2 linked regions of the Pelodiscus sinensis genome follow. The protein of the gene in region 2 interacts with the protein of the main gene of each other region in a biochemical or structural test. Links are inferred from orthologs where the notes say so. Each region holds a gene or a part of one and is shown on either strand. Other genes may lie near its edges. The genes, in order: FGF14 and SCN8A.

Evidence for each region.
Region 1: the proteins of SCN8A (region 2) and FGF14 form a complex in vitro, tested with the Homo sapiens proteins (2 studies listed by BioGRID). The link is inferred for Pelodiscus sinensis from reciprocal best matches to the Homo sapiens genes SCN8A and FGF14.

The regions. Positions count from the first base shown.
Region 1 is NC_134711.1:246,526,382-246,534,140, reverse strand, and holds the start of FGF14 (fibroblast growth factor 14), read right to left. Parts: upstream 3,171-7,759; 5' UTR 1,542-3,170; coding exon 1,349-1,541; intron 1-1,348. UniProt on the Homo sapiens protein: Probably involved in nervous system development and function.
Region 2 is NC_134729.1:5,870,809-5,879,199, forward strand, and holds the start of SCN8A (sodium channel protein type 8 subunit alpha), read right to left. Parts: upstream 3,351-8,391; 5' UTR 3,218-3,350; intron 1-3,217. UniProt on the Homo sapiens protein: Pore-forming subunit of a voltage-gated sodium channel complex assuming opened or closed conformations in response to the voltage difference across membranes and through which sodium ions selectively pass along their electrochemical gradient.

The sequences.
Region 1 (7,759 bases), on a different chromosome or scaffold from region 2:
ATTCATGTTTTGTATATGGGTTTATCCTTTTGTGTACAAGATTTTAATACAAAGCATTGGGGGAAATAACAATCATGCTAGTAGTGTAATTCTGAAGACCTCTGTTTATTGACTATTCTGAAACCTACAGGAAAAAATTATAATAATCCACAAATTTTATCCATTATAATATAGGCCCTAACTTTTATTGATATATGTGTGTGTATGTGTATATTACACACACACACACACACACGAGTATACACAGTACGTGATAATATCCCTCATGGACCTTAAACAAGTGCATGATGCACTTCCTACTTTCATATTACGGACATTAAAATTATGATCCTTTACTGTTAAGAATGGGAGTCTAGAACAGAACGCTTGTAGTGTATGTAAAATGAGCACACAGCATAAAGAAACGAATGATCCGCGATAGTTCGCTGAGGTTGCTTTGTCAGACACCGAACATGTAGAAGCTGAACATGTACTATTCGTCCTTTAAAAAAACATTAATAGGTTGTGGGTATTAGAGCCCTTATTATGTAGCCATTCGTTATCAATATCACGTAATGCACTTAATTCTATCCTCTCCTCAATTAAACGATTGTTTTTATCCTTCTTTGCCTTTTAAAAACTAAATCTCTAAGGCGCTCATGTTTTTTTTAAACAGGGGATCTATCAATTGTAGGCGTTGCTTTATTCTTCTGACTAGACTAGCATTTGAGGAAACCTTGCTTTCTATATAAATTACATCCTGGATAATACAGGGCATTAACATACATCTGAACTGCTGCTCGTCTTTCTCAGTGCTGCCTGTAAAGCGCTTTGTGAATGGGAGCGAAATACAAAAGACTTTGCATTACAGGATGAGGCAACTAGTGCAGGGAAGAGGACACCACACCTAAAGCCCCTTTGAGGGATACCACTGGACTCTGTTTACTAAAGCTAACACCCAGGGAAAGTGGTAGATATGGCATAGTGCATTACATTATTGAGGAGGTGTATTCTGTGAGTAAGTAACTTCCCCGACCAACAGCATGTACAGATAACACTGTGCCACCGCTTTTACGATCTGTTGGCTCTGCGAGCCCCTCGAGCTAATGTGTACCGATCCGTGTGTATTTTCTACCCAGCCCCATCGGGCAGCGTACCCCGTAGTTAGCGAGGGAACATCAGTGCCCGGAGCTCAGGGCTGGGGCAGGTACTAGGTGGGAGATGGCATTAGCCGCCAGTCCAGCAGAGTTTGCCGCGTGTAACTTGCCCGGCTGCTGGCCTGGCGGTGGCTCGCTACAGGTTGTCCCCACTCCCGGCTCCTGGGGGAAGGGCAGACAGACAGAGACAAGGGGCGGACTCACAAACACACCTTGGCGCCGCAACCTTCGCTTCTTGAGCCCGAAGATGCGGACCTTGGAGAAAATATCCACCAGGTTGCCGTTGCAGAGCCCCCGGTTCTTGCTGGGGCTGCTCCGCCTCCTGCTGGCCGAGGGCCGGTCCCAGTGCTGCTCCCTCGCCTGCCGCTTCTGGCGGATCAAGCCGCTGGCGATGGCCGCGGCCATGGTGGCTGCTCCCGGCAGCCGGCTCGCGGCTCACTGCAGCGGAGTTCAAGGGCTCGGCGGGCGCTGGGGCTCAGCCGCGGCGGGGCCCCATTCCCCGAGCGCCAGGGACAAGTGGGACCCTCCTCCGGCCGCAACTGCACCCAGGGGGCACCCGCGGCCCGGCGCTGTCACCGCATGGGCCCCCCGCCGCGGGTGCCACCTGCCCGGGCTCCGGCGGCTCCGGCTCGGGGCAGGCGGCAGGCACCTTCCCCCGGCCGCCCCTCAGCAGCCGACTCCCATTGCAGCTGCCGCCGCTGCTACAGCCGCCTCCTGCCCGCGCCTCCTGCCCGGTGTCCGCCAAGTGCTTGAGCAATCAGCATCTGGAGAGAGCCATCGCCTGCTCCGGCGGGAGAGCTGCGATCGCAGCCGCTCCGCCGCGGCTCCCTCCAGCCGGGAAAGCAGCAGCAGAGAAAAATAACAGGGGGGGGGGGCGGTGGGTGATAAGAGAGGGCCGGGGCTATTTTTTGGGGAGGGGGAATTGCTCGTTTCTAACGGGTCCCCATGCAGCGGCAGCCGCCTCTGCTCCCCGCTGGGGTTCCCTGATTGCAATGCGCGGCGCGCCCTCCACAAACTCTCCGCTCTGGTTGGAGGGAGGGCGAGGCAGCCGGCTAATCCCAGGCGCTACCAAAGCCCCAGGGGTGGCTGGGTCTGGCTCGCTCTCTCCCGCGCGCGCGCGCGAGCCCCTATCCCCCTTGCACACACTCCCCCACACGCGGTCCCAAGCCGGCCGGCTGGAGCCGGGAGCCTCGGCTCCTCCACTCCGCCCAGCCCGCTCAAAGTTGCGGGGATCTCCCTTCTGGAGGCAGGCTCGTCATTTTTCAATGGTGACACCGCGAGGGCGGGGGAGCCGGGGGAGAGGGAGGCGAAAGAACGCGCTATAAAAGGACCCGTTCGCGCCTCGCACGGCACAGGCACAGTGTGAACGCGATAATTCGGAGAGAAGCCCCAGCGAACGGAGCGGTAACAGCCGATCCTGCCACTGCGAAGCGGCTAGGGAGCAGGATGACAGCGAATAGCGGCCAGGCACTCAGGCAATCCCGACCCCCTACTTCCCCGGGTGGCTCTCCAGCAGCCTAGCCAAAGGCGGGGAAGTTGGGGTGGGATGCAAGGGAACGAAAGAGAAGTCAGAGTCCCGTGTAAACACACGGCGCTCAGCCTCAGCAATAACATCACCTTCCCCCCAGCCCTTCCTTCTGTATTGGACACACAGCTGCTTTGGGTAAATGAATCCCCAGCCGCTTAGGGAGGGAAGGAGAGAGAGGGGCTTTCTACTCTGGGACACACATTTATGGCTCCCAGGACACACCCGGGCGTAGGACCCTTTTCTCTCACTACTGGGAGTTCGGAAGTGAAAGCCCAAATATTCTTCAGACTTACACAACCTGGAAAAGGTTGCTAGGCAAGCCGATTCCCTCTGTTCAAAAAATCACTCCTCCTGCGTATGATTAAGAGCTGGTTAGAAGGAAACACGCCTACGCAGCCCAGGGAACCTTCCAGCTAAAACCGATACACACTCTTTGTCTTACAGAGAAACAAGACAACCAATATACTTTTAAACGAGAAGATAAACCAGCTAGTCTACAGGGCTTTATAACCACTGAATGTATCCTGTGCTGCGCCTACAAACATCTCTACGTGGGCGGTAGATTTATTGATCGCCCTCTAATGGGCAATTATGGATTGCTGTTATTGTTGTGTTTGATAAAATATGGATGTGTTCTCTATTGGGCACTGGCAATATGTACCAGGTATAGAAAATCCATATGGTCTCCCCCAAGGAGTTTACCAATACATTTGACACAATAGGTTTCACAATCCTGATTAGCCTAGAATCAGAGGGGTCTGAATCTGCATAAACAACCAGAAATCCTTTGGCACCTTACAGACTAACAGATTTATTGGAGCATAAGTTTTCGTGGGCAAAAGTGGGTCTTTGCCCACCAAAGTTTGTGCGCCAATAAACGTGTTAGGAAGGTGCCACAGGACTTTTCCTTATTAGCCTATTTTCTGTAAGCATGGCTTTTGGACCCCCCTCTCGGGTCTATCAATTTGGTTTTGGTCGATCTGTCTCTGATAGTGGTCAAACTTTACAATTACTGTTCTATGTACATAATTAATAGGTTTCGTGCAGCGGTCGTCTCCTTGTGTGTATATCTCCCCCATTAGACAGGCTTTAAAACTTGTTATTGTACTGGTCCCGCTTTCAAACTGCCCTATTTTCCCTTTAGGTGTATTCAGCTCAAAAGCCAGCTCTTTCCAATACCATGTTTTGAAGCTTAAACACTTCCTTGCAAAATATACCATTTCGCAATACAAAGCTCAACATGCTGTTATTTGAACGGATAGTTCAGTTGCTCCAGTTTCGACCATTATTTCCCTAAATCCTTTAATCTACAAAGAACTATTTTCACATCGAGGGCAAAAGCTTATGGAAGCATCTCCTTTACACACATTTCATGTTAAACCTAGATCAACTCGGAGGAGTACACGCTCAATTAGATCTGGATAATACGTTTTAATTCAATTTTATTTGAAAGTGGTTCTAAACAGATTCAGCTAAAAAGCATTCAGATTGGATTTTCTGTCTGGCGATTTCAACCGTGCGGCAATTTCCATACAATTGCTACAGTTACCCTAATTAATACAATCAGAGGAGTTTTAAATTTGATTGTATTTGATGTCGTGTTTTCGCGTTGTATAATAGACTGTGTTTAAAACTACTTCCCTTCCTCACACTTTAAAAAGACTGAGGGTTTAGTCCATACTGTCTTCTAACTGGATCCGTCCTCCTACTGCGACAGGACAATGAAACCTCTGTGGTGAACTTCAGCATTTTAAAGGTGGGACATTTCCCTTGCTTTGGAAGTACCAGAACAAAAAGAAAGGAGTCCTTAAGAAAGGGGTCGTGGTTGTTTATGCGGGTATTTCAGACAAAGGGGGGGGGGGGGAGCGAAGCAAGAACCCCCACCCCCACCGCGATCTAGCTTTGTTTGTTATAGCGTTGCCTTGTGATTTAGCCACGCGGTTTGCCTCAACAACGCCATACTCCCTTAAAGGATCGTTCTAAAACACTCATTGATAAATAATCGACAATCAGTGCTCACTTTATCTAATCTCCTCTAAACAGAGCTTCACCACAAACATGTAAAGTTAACTCAGTTTGCCACTGTAAATCTGAGGGTTTTTGCTGTAAGGTGGGAAAGGGACGGTGTTTCCTACTCCAGAGATCAAACATAAAAGCTTTCTGCTTGCTTCTCAGAAATGCAGAATAGTTGTTTACAGCTTTAGATATACCAAAGAAAACTCAAGGGAGCCCTCTGCTGTCTTAACCTATGATAAAAAGTGTGTTATTTTAGTCAGAGTGAAGGTTTTGCTAACAGACCTATGGAAGTATAGACACATCAGTTTGCCCAAGGTCCAGTAATTACATTGTGTTTAGGAGAAAAAATTTGCTGCATTAAAACCTCCCTATTTTCTTTCAGATTAAGAAAAGTGTGGATATCTAAACCCATCAAGGGGATTGAAGGAGCACTAGGCTTTTCAATATTTTCTGGTTTTCCCTCTTCTCATTTCTAACTACTAATTTGCTGTTTTGCTAGGCACATTTCTAAAACATAAAAAAAATGGAAAATCTCTACATTATGTATTTTTATGAGTGTTGCAAATTCACACTCAAAATGTTTAAAATCTAGGTAAAATTCTAAAAAACGGAATTAAAGTACTGATAAATATGTCTCAAATCAAATTCATTTGAGCTAGATGCAGCTGGCTATGTAAATAAACAATGTCATTTATTTAATTGTTAATTATTTCAAAGATTAACTTAATGCTAATGTATTCCTTTTAAATGACCAAACTGCTAGTGGATAAAGTAACAAACATATGCTAATTAACATTTTTCTTTCCATATATTAACAAAACACTTTGTCAAACAAGAAACCTTTGATATAAATGTATGTAGATTCCATATTGCCTTTCATTGGCATTTCAGGTAAAAAGAAATAAATAACTGTAAATAGGCCTGTTAAGTGATTACAAATTAATCATGCTTAATTGTGCAATTAACAATGCTCTTATGCAATAATAGAATACCATTTGTATACATATATTTTGATTTTTTTCACATTTTCAAATATATTGATTTCTGTTACAACACAGAATACAAAGTATCCAGTGCACACTTTGTATTTATTATAAATATTTACATTGTAAAAATAAAAGAAATAGCATTTTCATTCACTTGATACAAGTATTGTAGTGCATTCTCTTTATCATGGAACTTGAACTTACAAATGTAGAATTATATACAAAAATAACTGCATTCTAAAATAAGACAGTGTAAAATTTTAGAGCCTACAGGTCCACTCTGTCCTATTTCTTTTTCAGGCAATCACTCAGGGTATGTCTACAATACAGAGTTTTGTCGGAAAAAATGCCCATTTTTCTGACTAAACCTGAGTTATGTCCACACAGCAATCACGTTCTTTCTAAAGTAAATCGAAAGAACAGAGGGTTTTTTCCGGTGTTGGTAATCCTTTTTCTACGAGGAAGAAGCCTTTTTCCAAAAGAGCTCTTTCGGAAAAAGGTGTGTGTGGACTAGGAAGAGGGAGTTCTTTCAGAAGAAGGGGAAAGAGGAAAAAGCACAGGTGCCCTGGTGGCTATCCATAGTAATCATCCATAGTAATCATAGCTTACATGCAAGATAGCGTCCATTCAGTCTGGACACTATCTTTTGAAAAAGCAGATTGTTTTTTCGATGCGCTTTGGCAGTGTGGATGCTCTCTTTTGAAAGAAGCTTTTTTGGAAGCTCTCTTCCGAAAAAAGGTTCTTCCGAAAAAAGTCTGCAGTACAGACATTGCCTCAGACAAACAAGTTTGTTTACATTTGCAGGGGATAATGCTGCCCACTTCTTGTCCACAATGTCACCTGAAAATAAAAATAGGCATTCACATGGCACTGTTGTAGCCAACATTGCAAGCTTTTTTGTGTGCCAAATGTGCTAAAGATTCATGTGTCCTTTCATGGTTCAACCACCATCCCAGAGGATATGCGTTTATGCTGATGATGGGCTCTACTAGATAAGGACCAAAGCAGTGCAGACTGAACCATGTTCGTTTTCCTCATCTGAGTCAGATGCCACCAGCAGAGGGTTGATTTTCTTTTTTGGTGGTTTGGGTTCTATAGTTTCCACATCAGAATGTTGCTCTTTTAAGACTTTTGAAAGCATGCTCCACACTCTCTGGCACTTAAGATTCTTAAAGCTGGGGTTCATTTCTGTAACTATCTTTGGAAATCTCACATTGGTACCTTCTTTGTGTTTTGCCAAATTGCAGTGAAGGTGTTCAAAGAAATAACATGTGCTGGGCCATCATCTAAGACTGTTATAACATGACATATATGGCAGAATGTGAGAAAACACAGAGCAGAAGACTTACTATTTTCCCCCAAGGAATTCAATCACAAATTTACTTAACACATTTTTTTAATCAAGCATCATCAGCATGGAAGTATGTCCTCAGAAATGGTGGCCAAAGCATGAAAGGGCATTCGAACATTTAGCATATCTAGCACATAAATATCTTGCAGTGACAGCTACAAAAATGCCATGTAAACACCAGTTCTCACTTTCAAGTGAAATTGTAAATAAGAACCAAGCAGCATTATCTCCTGTAAATGTAAACAAACTTGTTTCTCTTAGTAATTGGCTGAACAAGAAGTAGGTTCGGGTGGACTTATAGGCTCTAAAGTGTTATACTGTTTTGCTTTTGAGTGCAGTTATGTAACAAACAAATCTACATTTGTAAGTTGTGTTTTCGTAATAAAGAGATTGCACTACAGTACTTGAATGAGACAAACAGAAGAAATGGCATTTTTCAATTTATCATTTTTATAGTGCAAATATTTGTAATACAATAATATGAAGTGAGCACAGTACATTTTGTATTCTTTGTTGTACAGGTTGAACCTCCCTGATCCTCCACCTTCAGGACCTGACTGGTCCCAAACCAGGGGAGGTCAGTGCACCGGCATCTCCACTTTTCCTCTTGGCCGCCTTGCTGTCACCTAGGATTCTGCTCTCCCCATAGGGAAACTTTGTTCCCCCCCTTCTCTGCTGCCACCCAGGGAGGGGGGACTCTGTACTCTGCCCGGTGGTCCTACTGCCTCCAGGGGCTCTCCCC
Region 2 (8,391 bases):
TGGGACAAGAAGGCAGATCCTGTCATGGATTAATAATTTATCAAAAGACAGGAAACAGAAGTTAGGAATAAATGGTCATTTTTCACAGTGGAAAGAGGCAGATAAGGCCTGAACATCCATATAACCCAGAGATTCAACATATGTATAAAAGATCTTGGAAAAGGGATATATCAGGAGGTGGAAAAGTATGCAAAGGATTCAAAATTACTCAAGATAGGTAAATCTAAAACTGACTGTTAGAAAAGGATCTCATAAAACTGGATGACTGGGCAAATGAAGTTCAATGTTGATAAATGCAAAGTAATGCACACTGAAAAAATAATTACAACTACCCCATAGAAAAGATGGGGTCTATAACAGAGAGCTTGGAGTAATAATGGATAGTTCTTTGAAAATACCTGCTTTATATGCAGCAGCAGCAGTCAAAAATGGTTTTTTTTTAAGTCATAGTTAGGAACCACTGGGAAAGGGATGCCACTGTATTAAACCCTGATATGCCCACATCTTGAATACTATGCAAGGTTCTGGTTACCCCAACTTGAAAAAGATGTATTAGAACTGAGAAAAGTACAGAAAAGGGCAATAAAAATTATTAGAGGAATGAAGCAACCTAGGGGGATTTTAAAAAGACTGGGACTGTTCATCTTTAAAAAAAGAAACAATTAAGGAGAGATATGATAGAGGTCTATGAAATCATGAATAGTGTGGGGAAAAAATAAATACGGAAATATTATTTACCTTTTCCCATAACACGTGAACCAGAAGCCACCCCATGAAATTAATAGCCAAACAAACATAAAGAAGAACTTCTTCACACAATGAACTCATTGCCAGGGGATGTAGTGAGACCACAGATATAACTGGTTTCAAAAAAATGAGCAGATAGGTTCATGGAGGAAATGCCCATCAATGGCAATTAGCCAAAATAATCCAGGACACAACCTAACCTTCAGGAAGACCCTATGTCTTTGACTGACAGAAGCTGGCAATGGAAGACAGGAATGGATCACTCCATCATTGCCAGTTCTGTTCATTCCCACTGAAGCATCTGGAGACAGGATACTGGCCTAGACAGATCATTGGCCTGACCCAGTATGGCCTTTCTTACATTCTAGATAAGACCTCCTGGTAGAATCATGTCACTATGGGCAGTTTCTACCAGCCTCAGAGAAGGAGAAAAACCTAAAGCAGTATGAATTCGTGATCAGTAACTAGGCCCAAGTACAAACCCAGATTATACAAATACACTGTTAGACAGTCACTAACCCTTTACCGTTCCCAGGGAACTGTCCATTTCAGCACCACACACCTGACGCCCACAACAAACAAGGGACCACTTCGCCTCAGCCCATGTGGCAAGAGGGAAGGGAAATATGCTTTAAGGCTATTTTATACATAATAACCATTCATTAGCAAAGGGGAAATCAAACCCCCACAACAGCCACCAAGGAAGTAAAATAAGGCTGCAATCATCATCTGTTGCTTAGCATCACGCACACCCAAGTTCAACAACATGTCCTAGACCTTGGAGCAAAATGCAGGACAATGTAGCACTTTAATTCGTTTTCACACGAGCTTGCATCCCACAGCACAGGAAACACACACATGTAACACCGCCTTCCCCCACCCCAGCACACTCCCGGTACTGATATCCGAATGATCAAGTCTTAAGAGGGCTGTGGGGAAGACACAGACAACGTGTAATACTTTCTGCCCTTCCCCTCCCCCAAAATATCCTACCGGTAGCTGGGCATAGGGACCTGGCTCCTCCTTCCTCCAACCAAATCCTTTTCCCCGAGGAAAGTGCAGGGCGTGTGGGTCACGCGTTCCCAGCTGCAGTGTTACCCGAAGCAGGGTAGGAGTCAGCGGCCGGGGGAAATAGGCCCCCGGTCTCCCAAATAAGGCCCCCCCCCCCACGAACTGCTCCTTGGCAGTGCGATACCTGGGGGTTGCAGCGCCCGCCCTGCGTCTGGAGGGGCAGTGGGGTCGAAACCTCCCACGCCCGGAGCCTCTCCCCCAAACCCCTGGAGGGAGCGCTCCAGAGAGGTGCAGCACCGGGCCCCAACTCCCTGTTTTACCCCCAAGCCTCCGCCACTCGCCTGGAGCTGCAGCTTCCCGCTTGCCCACCCCCACCGCGGCTGGTGTCATTTGGATGGGGGGGGTGACGCCCTGTCTTTACAAACATGCACCAAACAACCCCCCCCCCCTCCCCGGCTTGAAAGCCCCGCGCCCCCTCCTCAGGAAGCTCCGCGCACTAGAGGGCCCCAAGACAGGAGCTGGGACACCAAGACCCCTCTCGGGTCCAAACCGCCAGCCCCCCCCCTCCTCCTCCTCCGCGTCTCCCCCTGCTCCACTTGGCCCCCCGGCCGGAGGGGGGCTCAGGCGGCTGGAGTGTGGGGGGAGCGCTAAAGGGGTAGCCCAGCCCCGCAGCCAGGGGGTTGGGAAGAGCCCAGACGTGAGCGGGGGGTCCGGGCTGGGGGCGGGCTAGGGACAGCCCCCCCCAAATTAGGGGGACGGGCGCCGAGAAGGGGCCTAGATGAAGCCCAGACCGCTGGCAGGACTGAGGGTGGGCGGACTGGGTGGGGGAATGCACCAGCTCGCCGGCTGCTGGAGCGGGGGCTGTCGCAGCTGCAGGAGAGGCGCCCCGGCCAGGGGCTGGCTGACAGGCCGCCCTCGCCCTCCCCCAGGGCAGACAGGTAGCCAGGCTGCAGCGGGCACTGGGGAACCGAGGCCCCGCTTCTCCCAGCTGGGGGAGGGAAAGGAGCTAGCCCGCAGCCCTAGGCGCCCCGGTGGCGGCTAGGATGCCAGGCTGCTGCAAGTAGGGAATAGAACCGCCGCCGGCCAGAAGCCCTAGCTCACCAGTGCAAGGGGGTGCAGGGAACTACCCCCACCTGGGGGGAAGGGGAAGCCCCACGAGCAGCTGGCAAGCGGCCCTGTGCGCCCCAAAGCAGCCGAGAGGTTGCTGCTGCTGGGCCAGACCGATTTGGGGCAGGCGGGGTACCCTGGCACCCCGGGTGGGGAGGCAGGAGAGGAACTGGCCCACATGCACGCAAGGAGCTGTCGGTGCTTGGAAATCGCTCTGCGGCAAAACCCCCGCCTGGAGGGAGGGGGGGAAGGGGGTGCACAAAAAAAAAAAGCAAATGGGGGCAGGGGTTTGGAAGCCCCTCCGCGCAACCTGCGCGCCTCGCAAGGGTCCCGGGCGGGGGCTGCAACTTACTGTGGCTGCTGAACTAGCGTGACTCCCGCAAGGCGTTGCTGGACTGCGGAGGTGGGGAAGCTGCAGGAGAAACTGCGGTTGTCGCCATCTTAGTGCGCTGCCTCCCTTGCCTTCCCCCCAGTGCAGCGTGCAGTTCCCTTGCATAATTGATGACTCTCAGCAGAATGGTTAGGGAGCGTGTCAAAAATCTCTGCACTCGCCTCTATCCCCACCCCCTCTCCCCTTATCTGCCCAGGCAGGGACCATGTCTCCATCCAGCGGCTCAGAACTGGGAGGGGAGGGAGGACTCGGGATTCCAAGGGATGGGGAGGGTAAGGGGAACCCTCTCTTCTCCAAGGAAAATCCCCCACCAAGTAGGGGTTCCCTGCTCTGATGGTGGGATGGTTCCCTGGATGTGCATAGCACTGGGTCCTTGGGTAGCTGGTGGATCACTTAAGCAGAGGGAGATAAATTCCTTGGTAGATGTAGGGGCCCAGAGGGAATCTATCTAGAGAGGAATAGGGGACAGTGAAGCCAAGGGTCAGGGAGGGCCCTGGTGGGAAGAGAGTGTCTCACAGGGCATGTCCACACAGCAGAGCAAAACTCAAAGTAAGCTAAGCAACTTCAGCTACAGCGACTTCAATTGCATAGCTAAGTCGAAATAGCTTAATTCAGCTTTTGGCCCTGTCTCCACAGCAGGAAGTCAAATAAAGAGTGTTCTTCCTTCCACTCTCCTTACTCCTGTTCAATGAGGGTTACAGGAGTCGGAGTAAGAAGTCCTCCAGCTCGGCGTGATTTTGAAATAATGGCTCGCAGTGTGGACATGCTCTGTTATTTCAGAATGTCAGTTATTCCAAAATAACACTTCTGTAGAGACGTACCCGCAGAGTCCACAGAATGGAAACAAGTGTGAGGGCCCCAGCTCTGAAACAAGCTGTAACAATAATGCGTCTGCTCTTTCTCCTGGTCACCAGCCCTTAAGTTCAGTTCCCCCGAGGTCCAAATACACTCGTTGACTGGGAACATACCATAGCACCCTCAGCCAGGCTAGGACAGCTCTGGGCAGAATTAAATCATTTTGGTTTCACAAAGGAGTCTGCTTTCAACTCACTGGCATTCATTCATACCAATGAACCAAGGTTGAGCTTCAAGTGTAGAACTTACCACTGAGAGTCAGCCAAGTGGTAGGCGTTGACCAAAGAGAACCAATAATTCTGTCATATCACCTTATGGTATCAAAGTGCTATCCAAATAATGTGCTAATTAACCATCGCAAATCCAACCAACCTCTAAGGTAGGCATTATTATCCCCATTTTAGTGACATGAAGTGATATGCCAAGTCCGCCGAGGGCAAAAGTGGCAAAGGTGGGAACTGAGCTCAATAATTCCTATATAATATCCTAGAATTCCATCTTGGTCCACATCATTGGGCAAACCTTTGCTTTCAGATAGAATGGTGTAAATTGGGACTAACATCACTCAAGCCACTAGATTGGTTTCCAATCTACTACTGTGTCACGGAGCAGAATTTGGCCCAATGACTCCACAAAACATAGAAGAGACATCCCTGCAAGCAGTTTAGTCTGAATCAGATGCAGACCCAGCAAAGACCACATGGAGAGTAACATTGGATTGGAGAATAATGTATATGTAGTGATTTAGCTTGTCTGTAACTCACTGAACTAAGCTACATTGATATATGCCAGTTGTAACCCAATTTAAGTGTGTTTGCACCACTTCAACTAAATCAGTTTAAAAATTGTGCACTTTTAAAAAGTCCAGCTTGTGCATGCAGAAACAAAGACTTAGTCCACATCAGCAAGAGTCTATAAATTGGCCTTAAGTTCTCCAAGTGCAAGGCCTGGTCTACACAGTTTTTGTATTAATATAACTATTTTGGTTTGAGCTGTGATTTTTTTTATTTTAATTTTTTTTTTACTGACATAGGGCTTGTCTTCATTATACAGTGGATCTACACTGCAGCGATTGATCCATTGGCAGTCGATTTATTGTGTCTGCATAGATGCGATAAATTGACCTCTAAGCCTGTTGACTCCTGTACTCCATCCACCAGGATGAGAAAAGTAGTCCGAGTTGACAGGAGAGCATCAGCCGCGGACCTTACCACATGGAAGTACTGCATTAAGTACACTGAATAGTGTAGCAGAAATTGTGTATCTTAAATCGATGGGGGAGGCTTGTGTCGATTAGGTGTTACATATACCAATGCAGCTCCCTAGTGTGGGTACAATCATAGAGGTACAAAGACACCTTATGTTGCTAGAGCTTATTCTCAAACCCCCACAGAAACAGCTACACTGGTATAAAAGCATCTATATATGGAGACAACCACAGCCTCTTTATTCCAGAATAGTTAAAGTGATACAAATTGTGTGTATAGACAAGTCCTTACACCTCATCTCTGGATTTGATCCAAAAAGTTTTGGAGTTGAAAGGTATTAGGGAAAATACAAATAAATCTCCAGTATCTATTTGGAAACAGTGAGATTGCAGAAACTTTGACCAAAGCCCTGATCCTCTAATTGGACCCAGGTGGGCAGACCCCTGAAACTGCATACAATCCCAACACCTGCCTGAAAGTTTCTTGAACTTTTGCCAAAATGTAAATTTCCATAGCAAAAACAGACAAGTTTCACCTGATTTCAAGTTTAATTATGACACATCCTCTATTTTAAGCATCTGATAAGTCCCATTGACATCAACAGTGCTTAATGGATAACATTTTCATAGTGCCAGCATGACTTAGGAGTCTAGCTAGTCCCTCAATCGTGGATAGATATCTAAGTCATGTAGGTGTTTTCCAAAATTTTACCCCGTGTGTTACATTATATGAGTCTACAACCAGTTTTGCATCTTCAGTAAGGCAACAAGTGCAGGCCAATTTAAAGTGCCCAAAAGAAATCACTAATTTAGGTGCCCAATTTTAGACATGCTAGAACCATCTATGGAAGTGGCAGATGTCCAACATCAGACATTAAGGGTGTCCTTAACATCTGAAAAAAACGGACTCCTTTTAAAGGTGACTCATGGTGGGCACCCAAAGTCAGTAGCCACTTCTGAAGTATTTTTAGACACTCAAGAGATGGTCCATCTCCCTAAACCCAAACTTTTGGAAGCATTTTTTTTATATCCATGCACAATCTGGCTTCTCTCTGGTGTGAATGAAGAGCCTGAACCTGAGAGTTGCTGAACACCTACAATTCCTAGTAGAGTTCAGGAGTGTTAGCAATGTTTAGCACTTCTGGGCTCTAATTATCACTCATTGGCTCTGTGGCAGGGTAAACTTGGTCTGGCTGTGTCTCCTGGTAAGAAGATCCAGGAGTAAAAATGAGTCAGAGAGTAATCTATACAATTACAATGGCAATCTATACAATATTTTTGAAATAGCTACAATCCCTGGAACAATGGACTCTGCATAAGAATGGGCATATTGGATCAGATCAATGGTCCATCTTGTCTCCTGACAGTGGCTCGTCCCAGATGGTTCAGAGGGAATGAACAGAACAGGGTGTGACGGCGCGTTGGGGGTCCCCCGTCTCCTGCACCCCGAAATGGCACAAACAGACTCCACCAGCCAGTGGAATTGAGGATGGTTTATTGCTCCTCCAGGATACAGCACAGCACAGATGTAATCTGGTTACAGGAACTGGGGCTAAGAGGCCTCAGTGCCCCCCCTTGAGATGGGGGAGTCCCAGCCCCCCTCCCCAGCTCCTTCTCCCCTGCTTTCCAGACAGGAACTAACTCTACCTCTCCCAGCCCTGCCCCCAGCCAGGGCAGCCTTCCACCTCCCTTTGTTTCTCCCCATGGGGGGTAGGCTGGTTCAACCGGTATGGTACCTTTGCATAATAAGGTTTTCCCTGATGGGTCTTGCTCCAGACAGCAGAGGTCACCACAGCCCAGCAAGTACCCCCACTACGTCACACAGGGCAACTTATCAAGTAATCCATTCCCTGTCATCCAGTTCCAGCTTCTGTCAGTCACAGGGCTAGAGTCACCCGGAGCACGAGGTTGTATCCCTGAACATCTTAGCTAATAGCCATTAGCAGGCCAATCCTCCATGAACGTATCTAATTGTTTTTTAAAACCCAGTTATTTATGTAGCCTTAACTACATCCCCAGCTACCAGTTTCGCAGGCTATGTTGCCTGAAGAAGTACTTCCCGATGTTTGTTTTAAACCTGCTTTCTATTAATTTTATTGGGTGACCCCCTAGTCCATGTGTGTATGAGAAGAGATAAATAACTCTTCTTTATTACTTTTATTCTACTCATGAATTTACAGACCTCTATTATATTTGCCCTTACTTGTTTCATTTTTAAGGTGAACAGCCCCAGTCTTGTTAATCTCCCTTCAGATGGAATTTGCTCCATCCCCCTAAGCATTTTTGTGCCTCCACATACTTTTCCCAGTTCTAATATATCTTTTTAGAATTTTTTTTAACTGCGCATAATTTTAAAAGTGTGGGTGTACACTGGCTTTACATAGTGACATCATATTGTCTGCCTTATTATCCATCCCTTTCCTAGTGGTTCCTATATTTTTTAGCGTGTTTGACTGCTGCTGCACATTGAACAGATGCTTTCAGAGAACTAGCCATGAGGACACTTTTTATTGAGAGGAAACAGCCATTTTAGACCTCATCTTCTTGTATATATAGTTACAATTATGTTTTCCAATGGGCATTACTTTGCATTTATCAACAAGGAATTTCATTTGCCATTTTGTTGCCTAGTTATGTGAGATCCCTTTGTCCCTTTGTAGAGCTTCAAAGTCTGCTTTGGAACTAACTATCTTAAGTAATTTTGAATCCTCTGCAAACGTTGCCGCCTCACTGTCTATCCCTTTTCCCAGATTATATATGTATGTCAGTTGTGGGCAACTTGTGGCCCACAGGACACACGTGGTGCACTGGGACACCACCTTCAGCCCACCGAACCCCTGGCTGCCCCCTTCTCCATGTGCCTCTCCTGCACCTCAGCATTTTCAGAGCACGCAAATCACCTGATTCACGCTCTGTCCCCACTCCTCCCCTTCCCTTCCAGAGATGGAATGCTGTGAATCAGCTGTTTGCAACATTCCACCTCTGGGAAGGAGGGGGAGGAGTGGGGACAGAGCAAGAATTAGGCAATTTGCACACTCTTAAAGTGCTGGGAGGGTTGGGGAGGAACAGGTAA